2 linked regions of the Sus scrofa genome follow. The protein of the gene in region 2 purifies or fractionates together with the protein of the main gene of each other region. This does not show direct contact. Links are inferred from orthologs where the notes say so. Each region holds a gene or a part of one and is shown on either strand. Other genes may lie near its edges. The genes, in order: TRAF7 and MAP3K2.

The links.
Region 1: the proteins of MAP3K2 (region 2) and TRAF7 purify together in Homo sapiens (affinity purification with mass spectrometry; 3 studies listed by BioGRID and IntAct, with this or other methods). This does not show direct contact. The link is inferred for Sus scrofa from reciprocal best matches to the Homo sapiens genes MAP3K2 and TRAF7.

The regions. Positions count from the first base shown.
Region 1 is NC_010445.4:39,811,374-39,815,183, reverse strand, and holds the end of TRAF7 (E3 ubiquitin-protein ligase TRAF7), read left to right. Parts: coding exon 1-53; intron 54-128; coding exon 129-202; intron 203-422; coding exon 423-471; intron 472-550; coding exon 551-678; intron 679-842; coding exon 843-925; intron 926-1,638; coding exon 1,639-1,678; intron 1,679-1,760; coding exon 1,761-1,877; intron 1,878-1,960; coding exon 1,961-2,083; intron 2,084-2,267; coding exon 2,268-2,387; intron 2,388-2,496; coding exon 2,497-2,628; intron 2,629-2,710; coding exon 2,711-2,830; intron 2,831-2,999; coding exon 3,000-3,014; 3' UTR 3,015-3,381; downstream 3,382-3,810. UniProt on the Homo sapiens protein: E3 ubiquitin and SUMO-protein ligase that plays a role in different biological processes such as innate immunity, inflammation or apoptosis. Potentiates MAP3K3-mediated activation of JUN/AP1 and DDIT3 transcriptional regulators.
Region 2 is NC_010457.5:25,167,305-25,171,114, forward strand, and holds part of MAP3K2 (mitogen-activated protein kinase kinase kinase 2), read left to right. Parts: intron 1-692; coding exon 693-822; intron 823-3,810. UniProt on the Homo sapiens protein: Component of a protein kinase signal transduction cascade. Regulates the JNK and ERK5 pathways by phosphorylating and activating MAP2K5 and MAP2K7. Plays a role in caveolae kiss-and-run dynamics.

The sequences.
Region 1 (3,810 bases), on a different chromosome or scaffold from region 2:
CAAGCTCTCGGAGAAGATAGACCAGCTGGAAAAGAACCTGGAGCTCAAGTTCGGTGAGCACCCGGCCCGGGGGGGCAGGGGGGCAGCCCCTGCTCCTGGTCCCTGACGCCCTCTCCCCTGCTGCGCAGACGTCCTGGACGAAAACCAGAGCAAGCTCAGTGAGGACCTCATGGAGTTCCGGCGAGACGCGTCCATGCTGAACGTGAGCGGGTGGGGCCGGGCCGGGAGGTGGGGTGACAGACTCAGGACCGGCTCTCACTTGGGTCCCAGCAGGGGGCCTGTGCCCGCTCAGGATTCGGTGTCTGTCCTGGGGAGGGTGGCTCCGCTGCACCTGCCCGTCCCCCGCAGAGCCCAGGCCTGGGGCCCCGGGAGGGTCGTGGGGCCCCGCCCACCCCTTCTCTGCTCTGCTCTGGGCCTCGCAGGACGAGCTGTCCCACATCAACGCGCGGCTGAACACGGGCATCCTAGGATGTGAGTACACGCCTGCCGCTCCCGCTGCTGTCCCGGAGGCCCCCGCGGGCCCCTCACCCATCTCCCTCCCTCTCTGCAGCCTATGACCCGCAGCAGATCTTCAAGTGCAAAGGAACTTTCGTGGGTCACCAGGGCCCGGTCTGGTGCCTCTGCGTCTACTCAGTGGGGGACCTGCTCTTCAGCGGCTCCTCTGACAAGACCATCAAGGTGGGCAGGGTCCTGCCTAGGAGCTTGGCAGCCTGGCAGGGCCGGGGTGGGCAGTGCCCATGGACTGGCTCCCCTCCCCCTACAGCGGCCATCTTTCCTGGCGTGGTGCCCCGTGCCACTGGTCTGACCCTGCTGGGACCTGCCCTGACCCCCGGTCTCTGCAGGTGTGGGACACGTGTACCACCTACAAGTGCCAGAAGACGCTGGAGGGCCACGACGGCATCGTGCTGGCACTCTGCATCCAGGGGTGAGTGCAGGCACGTGTGTCTGCCCACCGCAGGGCTCGCGTGGCGCTTGGGTCTGTGGCCACACGTGCCCTCGAAGGGTGGTGTCTGCCCCTCCTGGGAGACAGCCTGGACACCGAGCAGGGCGGGTGGGCTCACGGGGTGGCAGGATGTGAGCCCTCCGTCCCTGAAGCTGTACATGCCCTGGCCTGGAGTCCCGCAGGGGCAGGGGCCAGAGGTGGGACCAGAGAGGGAGGGGGGGACTCACCACGGCCAACCTGCAACCGAGCCCGGGGCACAGCCCCGCAGAGCAGCCAGCCTGACCCCCCCTTCCCCCCAGGGAGCCCCTTCCAGACATCTCTCCTGTCTCATGTCCTGAGGCTTTGTGTTGTGGGCGTAAGTGTGAGTGTGTGTACGCGTGTCTGAGGGAGCAAGGGAGAGGGAGATGCTGGCTCACAGGAAACAACAGCTTGACTGCCAGCAACACGGGCAGGGTAATTACCTCTCAGCTCAGCTGTCAGACGCTTGCCAGGCAGGCACGGGGCTGGGCCTCCACTTCCAAGGGCCCTTCGCTGAGACGGGAAAACCCAGGCTGGGCTCAAGGACATGGCGGTGGCCCTGGCCCCCCGCCCAAGCTGCTGGTTCCTGGGAGCCAGTGCTCCCTTGGCCTGGCCCGGGCAGCGTCAGCGAGGACGCTGGCTTCTCGCGCCCTGACACCGTGGCTCTGCCTCCCCAGGTGCCGGCTCTACAGCGGCTCTGCAGACTGCACCATCATCGTGAGTGGGGCCGGCGGGCGGCATCCACGCCCCACCCGGACCCGGGAGCCTGGGGCTCACTGTGCCTCCTCCCTCCTGCCAGGTGTGGGACATCCAGAACCTGCAGAAGGTGAACACGATCCGGGCCCACGACAACCCGGTGTGCACGCTGGTCTCCTCGCACAACCTGCTCTTCAGCGGCTCCCTGAAAGCCATCAAGGTGGGGCAAGGGGCGCCAGGCGGGGCGGCGGGTGGCGGCGCCTGCCCTCGCTCGCCCGCCTGCACTCACGGCTGCTCCCCCAGGTCTGGGACATCGTGGGCACCGAGCTGAAGCTGAAGAAGGAGCTCACCGGCCTCAACCACTGGGTGCGGGCCCTGGTGGCCGCCCAGAGCTACCTGTACAGCGGCTCGTACCAGACAATCAAGGTGCGCCCGCCCCGAGCGCCTGCGCCCTGGCAGGCTCCCGGGACTCCACTTGTCCTACCCCGACCCCGCCGGCCCAAGGAGACCCTCACACACACCCCAGGGTGGGCAGTGCTGCTGCCTGCATACAGAGACCCCTGGGGTGAGGCATCTGGGCTGGGACCAAGTGGCCTGTGCTTGCCCCCAGATCTGGGACATCCGGACCCTCGACTGCATCCACGTCCTGCAGACGTCTGGTGGCAGTGTCTACTCGATCGCCGTGACGAACCACCACATCGTCTGTGGCACCTACGAGAACCTCATCCACGTAAGAGCCGGCACCCAGGGCTGGGGCCCAGCTCTGGGCCCATTCCCCCTGCCCCCCACCCCCCGCCCCGGTCTGTGCCTCTGACCCGCCTCTGCCTGCCCACCCCCAGGTATGGGACATCGAGTCCAAGGAGCAAGTGCGAACCCTGACGGGCCACGTGGGCACCGTGTACGCCCTGGCGGTCATCTCCACGCCAGACCAGACCAAAGTCTTCAGTGCGTCCTACGACCGCTCTCTCAGGGTGCGAGCTGGCCTGGCAACAGAGGGGGGCCCAGGGCCGGTGGCCAGGCCGGGGCGGGTCCTCATGTGCCCTGTGCCCCCAGGTGTGGAGCATGGATAACATGATCTGCACGCAGACCCTGCTGCGCCACCAGGGCAGCGTGACAGCCCTGGCTGTGTCCCGGGGCCGGCTCTTCTCGGGAGCCGTGGACAGCACTGTGAAGGTCAGCGCCTCAGTTCGGGCCACCCAGAGGGGCGGCCCGTGCTGAGCAGGGGGAGGTGTTGGGAGCCGGGAGCCCTGGGCGGGTGGCGGGGGACAGCAGGCAGGAATGGCAAGTGGCTCTGGGGCCGGACGCCCAAAGGGGCCCCTGAAACGGAGCCTTTCCTCTGCAGGTTTGGACTTGCTAACAGAACCTGGGCCAGGTCTTGGCTTGCTCTGGGCCCAACCCAGACCAGTCCCAGTCCGGCTGGCCCCATGGTTGGTCTGGGGGTCTCTGCCCACCCTGTGGGGACAGGCAGGCAGACTCAGCCAGGCAGGCAGTGAGTGCCCTCCCTGCCCGGCACCCAGCGAGTCCCCCTCTGCTTGGCCCTGTCATCGTCACTGCCAGGACAGTGCCCAGCCCCTCTCTGGGTGCCAGGTACGACGCTCAGCAGCCCCCCACTCTGTCCTGACTCCAGGTGGACTGTGGGCCTTTTTACTCACCTTTTCTACTGTTTTTAGACTGTATATAGATTTGATTACTTCCTGATTGAAATAAAAGCTGCACAGACTGTGGCTGTGAGTCCGGATGGCCCTTGGGGAGGGAGAGGCCGCCTGAGAACACTGGGGTGCCCGGGCACCAGCAGCCAGTGGGAGGGACCCTGGGGTGGGAGCACCGGAGGCTCCCGGTGACAAGCCCAGGGGGGAAAACGGCCCTCTCTGTGGCGTCTCCTCCCCACCAGGAACAGGCTGGCCTCCCACTTGCCCCAGTGTACACGCCCTCAAAAAGCCAGCCAGGCAGCTCCGTTTTCAGCTGTTTATTGACAGCTGACAGTAGGTCCCTGCCCGAACCCCCCGCCCCACCTGCCTGCCCCCGGGCCACGCGCTGAGGAGGCCAGGGAGATGGCCAGGCGCATCCAGCAGGGAAGGGTCCACAAGTGACCGCTGGAAGGGGCCCCCCCCATGCCCGGACACCACCTCGGCAGACCCCTCTCACTCGCCAGG
Region 2 (3,810 bases):
CCATAATGAATATAATAAAAAATACTGTAATAAATTTGTACAGAGGTAGGAGGTTATTAGACTCATCATGGTGATAATTGTGTAATGTATTTAAATGTCATATGACTGGTATACACCTGAAACTGACATGACATTGTACGTCAACTAAACTTCAATTAAAAATAAATAAAATAGGGAGTTCCCGTCATGGCTCAGTGGCTAGTGAATCCGACTAGGAGCCATGAGGTTACTGTTCGATCCCTGGCCTTGCTCAGTGGGTTAAGTGTCCGGCATTGCTCTGAGCTGTGGTGTAGGTTGCAGACGCAGCTCGGATCCCGTGTGGCTGTGGCTGTGGCTGTCGCTGGCAGCTACAGCTCCGATTAAACCCCTAGCCAGGAAACCTCCATATTCCACAGGTGCAGCCCTAGAAAAGGCAAAAAGACAAAAATAAGTAAATAAATAAATAAATAAATAAAATAGCTCCTACTGTGGTGTGGTGGGTTAAGGGCCCGGCATTATCTCTGTGGCAGCACAGGTTCAGTCCCCAGCCCGGCACAGTGGGTTACAGATCCAACATTGCCCAGCTGTGGCATAGGTTTATTTAGTCAGTGAGAGTAATAAATAAATAAACACACACAAGTCTTTAAAAATAAAAATTTACTGGTAGTTTTCATTTCAAACCATACTATAGTTTTTTGTTTTCTTTTATCCAGGGTTCAATTAAGGACCAATTAAAAGCATATGGAGCTCTTACTGAGAACGTGACTAGGAAATACACCCGTCAGATTCTGGAGGGTGTCCATTATTTGCACAGTAATATGATTGTTCATAGAGATATAAAAGGTAAGTAATGAACTATTTTTTTAAATGAGCTATTTTTAAAAAAATATACAGCATTCTCTATCTCTTTTTTTAAAATGGCTGCATCCACAGCATATGGAAATTCTTGGGCCAGGGATTATATCTGAGCCACAGCTGTGCCCTACACCACAGCTATGACTACACCAGATACTTAACCCACTGTGCCAGGTTGGGGATCAAATCCATAAAGACAATACTGGATCCTTGAGCTGCTGTAGGGAACTCCAGCAGCTCACTCTCTCTTTTTTTTTTTTTTTTTTTTTTTTTTTTTTTTGCTTTTTCAGTGCTGCACCTGTAGCATATGGGAGTTCTCAGGCTAGGGGTTGAATTGTAGCTGCAGCTGCCAGCCTACACCACAGCCATAGCAATGCGGGATCCAAGCCACGTGTGCAATTGATACCACGGCTCACGGCAGTGCAGGATCCTTAACACACTGAGCAAGGCTAGGGATCAAACTTGTGTCCTCATGGATCCTAGTCGGCTTTGTTAAACTCTGAGCCATGAAGGGAACTCCCTCTTTTTTTTTTTTTTAATGAAACATGGTTAAGAAATTGGACATTTGAATTAATACATCTACCTTTAAAATACTGTAGGAAGACAGTTCCAACTAGTCCTGATGATCAGGGTTCCACAGGAGGGAAACTACCCTGTGGGGTTCACAGGTTTAGTAAAGTTCAAATGATTATAAAAAAAGAGACATGTTTTCATCCAGAGAGCACAGGTATTAGCATATAATGCTTAAGAATAGGGCCCCTGAGGAGCTCCAGCTGTGGCGCAGTGGGATTGGAGGCATCTTGGGAGCTCTGGGTCTGGCACAGTGGGTTAAGGATCTGGCGTTTCTGTAGCTGTGGTTTGGGTCGCAGCTGTGACTCAGACCTGGCCCGAGAGCTCCATATGCCACAGGGCAGCCAAAAATGGGGAGAAAAAAAAAGTAGGGTCTCTGATACCACATAGCCTGGTTTAAATTCAGGCTTTATCTCTCCCTAACTGTGAGACATCTTCTGTGCCTCAGTTCCTCATTTTTAAGGAGGGAAATAACAGTGTACAGCTCAGAGGATTCCTATAAGAATTAAATGAGTTGGAGTTCCTGTTGTGGCTCAGCAGGTTAAGGACTTCTTGACATAGTGTCTGTGATAATGTGGGTTAAATCCCTGGTCTCGCTCAGTGGGTTAAGGATCTGGCCTTGCCGCAGGCTGTGACATAGGTTGCAGATGAGGCTCTGTGGCTGTGTCTGTGGTGTAGGCTGGCAGCTGCAACTCCAATTTAACCCTTAGCCCAGGAATTTCCATATACCGCAGGTACAGCCTTAAAAAAAAAAAAATTAAATGAGTTAATGCATATAGTATGCTTAATACCATGCCTGGTATCTAGAAAGCACTCAAAAGTTAGTTACAATCATGATGTACTTTATGTTGAGAGCATTTTTAAAGCTGTGGGATGGATATCATTACCTAAGGAGAGAATAAAAAGAGAGCCCAAGACTGAGCTTTGATGAATTCCAGCTCAGTTAAGCTCACTTTTTAAAACTCAGCTGTTTTCATGGATCAAACATAAAGTGACTGCATGAAGCAAGACAAAATTGATTGGTAGAGATGTGTGAATTTAAGAGTCTTAAAACTCTGTTCTCCAAAGCATACCGGGAGGCTTCATTCTGTAAAAACCAGGTTGTGACCCAAATGTTATGATTACTTTATTTGGGAGTTCCCATCATGGCGCAGCAATTAAACCCATGAGAACTTGGGTTTGATTCCTGGCCTCGCTCAGTGGGTTAAGGATCTGGCATTGCCGTGAGCTGTGGTGTATGTTGCACATGCAGCTCGGATCCTGTGTTGCTGTGGCGTAGGCTGGCGGCTGCAGCTCCGATTGGAACCCCTGGCCTGGGAACCTCCACATGCCATGGATGTGGCCCTAAAAAGACGAAAAAAAAAAAAAATCACTTTATTCAATCAGTTGTTGAGAATAATGAACAAATACACACACACAATAAATTTAAAACTTCTTTCCATTAGCCTTCCTGGGAACTCTTAGGAGCTATCATGAATTTACTCCCTTTTGGTGGTGTGTCACATCCTGAACAAGGCCATATTCAGGCTAAAGAGAACATTCCCAGCCAGTTTCAGTCATAGAGTAGAAACTGCTGCAGAATGCCTGGGCAAGACCCCATGTATAGTGGAGCTGACCGGTGAGTCTTGGAGATGACCACATCACTCATGATCTGAAAAAAAGAGGAGCCTATCTTTCACCTCAAGATCCACCAATTCTTACCAGTTGTCAAGTATAAAACCCAGTAGTTTAAAGAACCATGTAAGGTGGTGACAATTTTGTAATGTATAGAAATACTGAATCACTGTGTTGTGTACCTGGAACTTACATGGTAAAACAAAGAAAAATACATAGGGAAATGATTTTTATTATGAATTAGTCTGTTAGGAATAATCTTTATTCAAACAGTTACTCCCCAACTGGGTTTTTTCACCTTGCCAGTGTGAGGAGGTTGGAAGCAAGGTGATTTATAAACAGTACAGGGCAAGATATATGATAAAAGTGTAAGATATAAAATTAGATGTGCAGTATGACCTCAAGTATTAAAGTATGGCCTAGGAGAAAAATTTCCACATGATTAACAGTGGTTATTTCCAAGTGGCAGGATTAGTGATAATTACTTTTCTCCTGGATACTTTTTACTTTTTCTGTATTTCCTAACTTTTTATGATGAGCAGTTTTTAAATGGCAAAGGAAAAGGAAAACTAGCTGATCACTTTTGTTTAAACCCATGAGTTCATAATGAAACCTAGGATAAAAATTAATTGATCATTTTTGCTAGGGAGCCTACTCATTATTTCATAATAGGGTCCTTTTACTCTGCTTTTATGAGCTGTACTACTGAGGACTAAATAGTGGATGAAAGGAGACTTATCTTTATAAAAATATCTTAGCTAACAAATGACAGATTAATAGATAGAAACACTG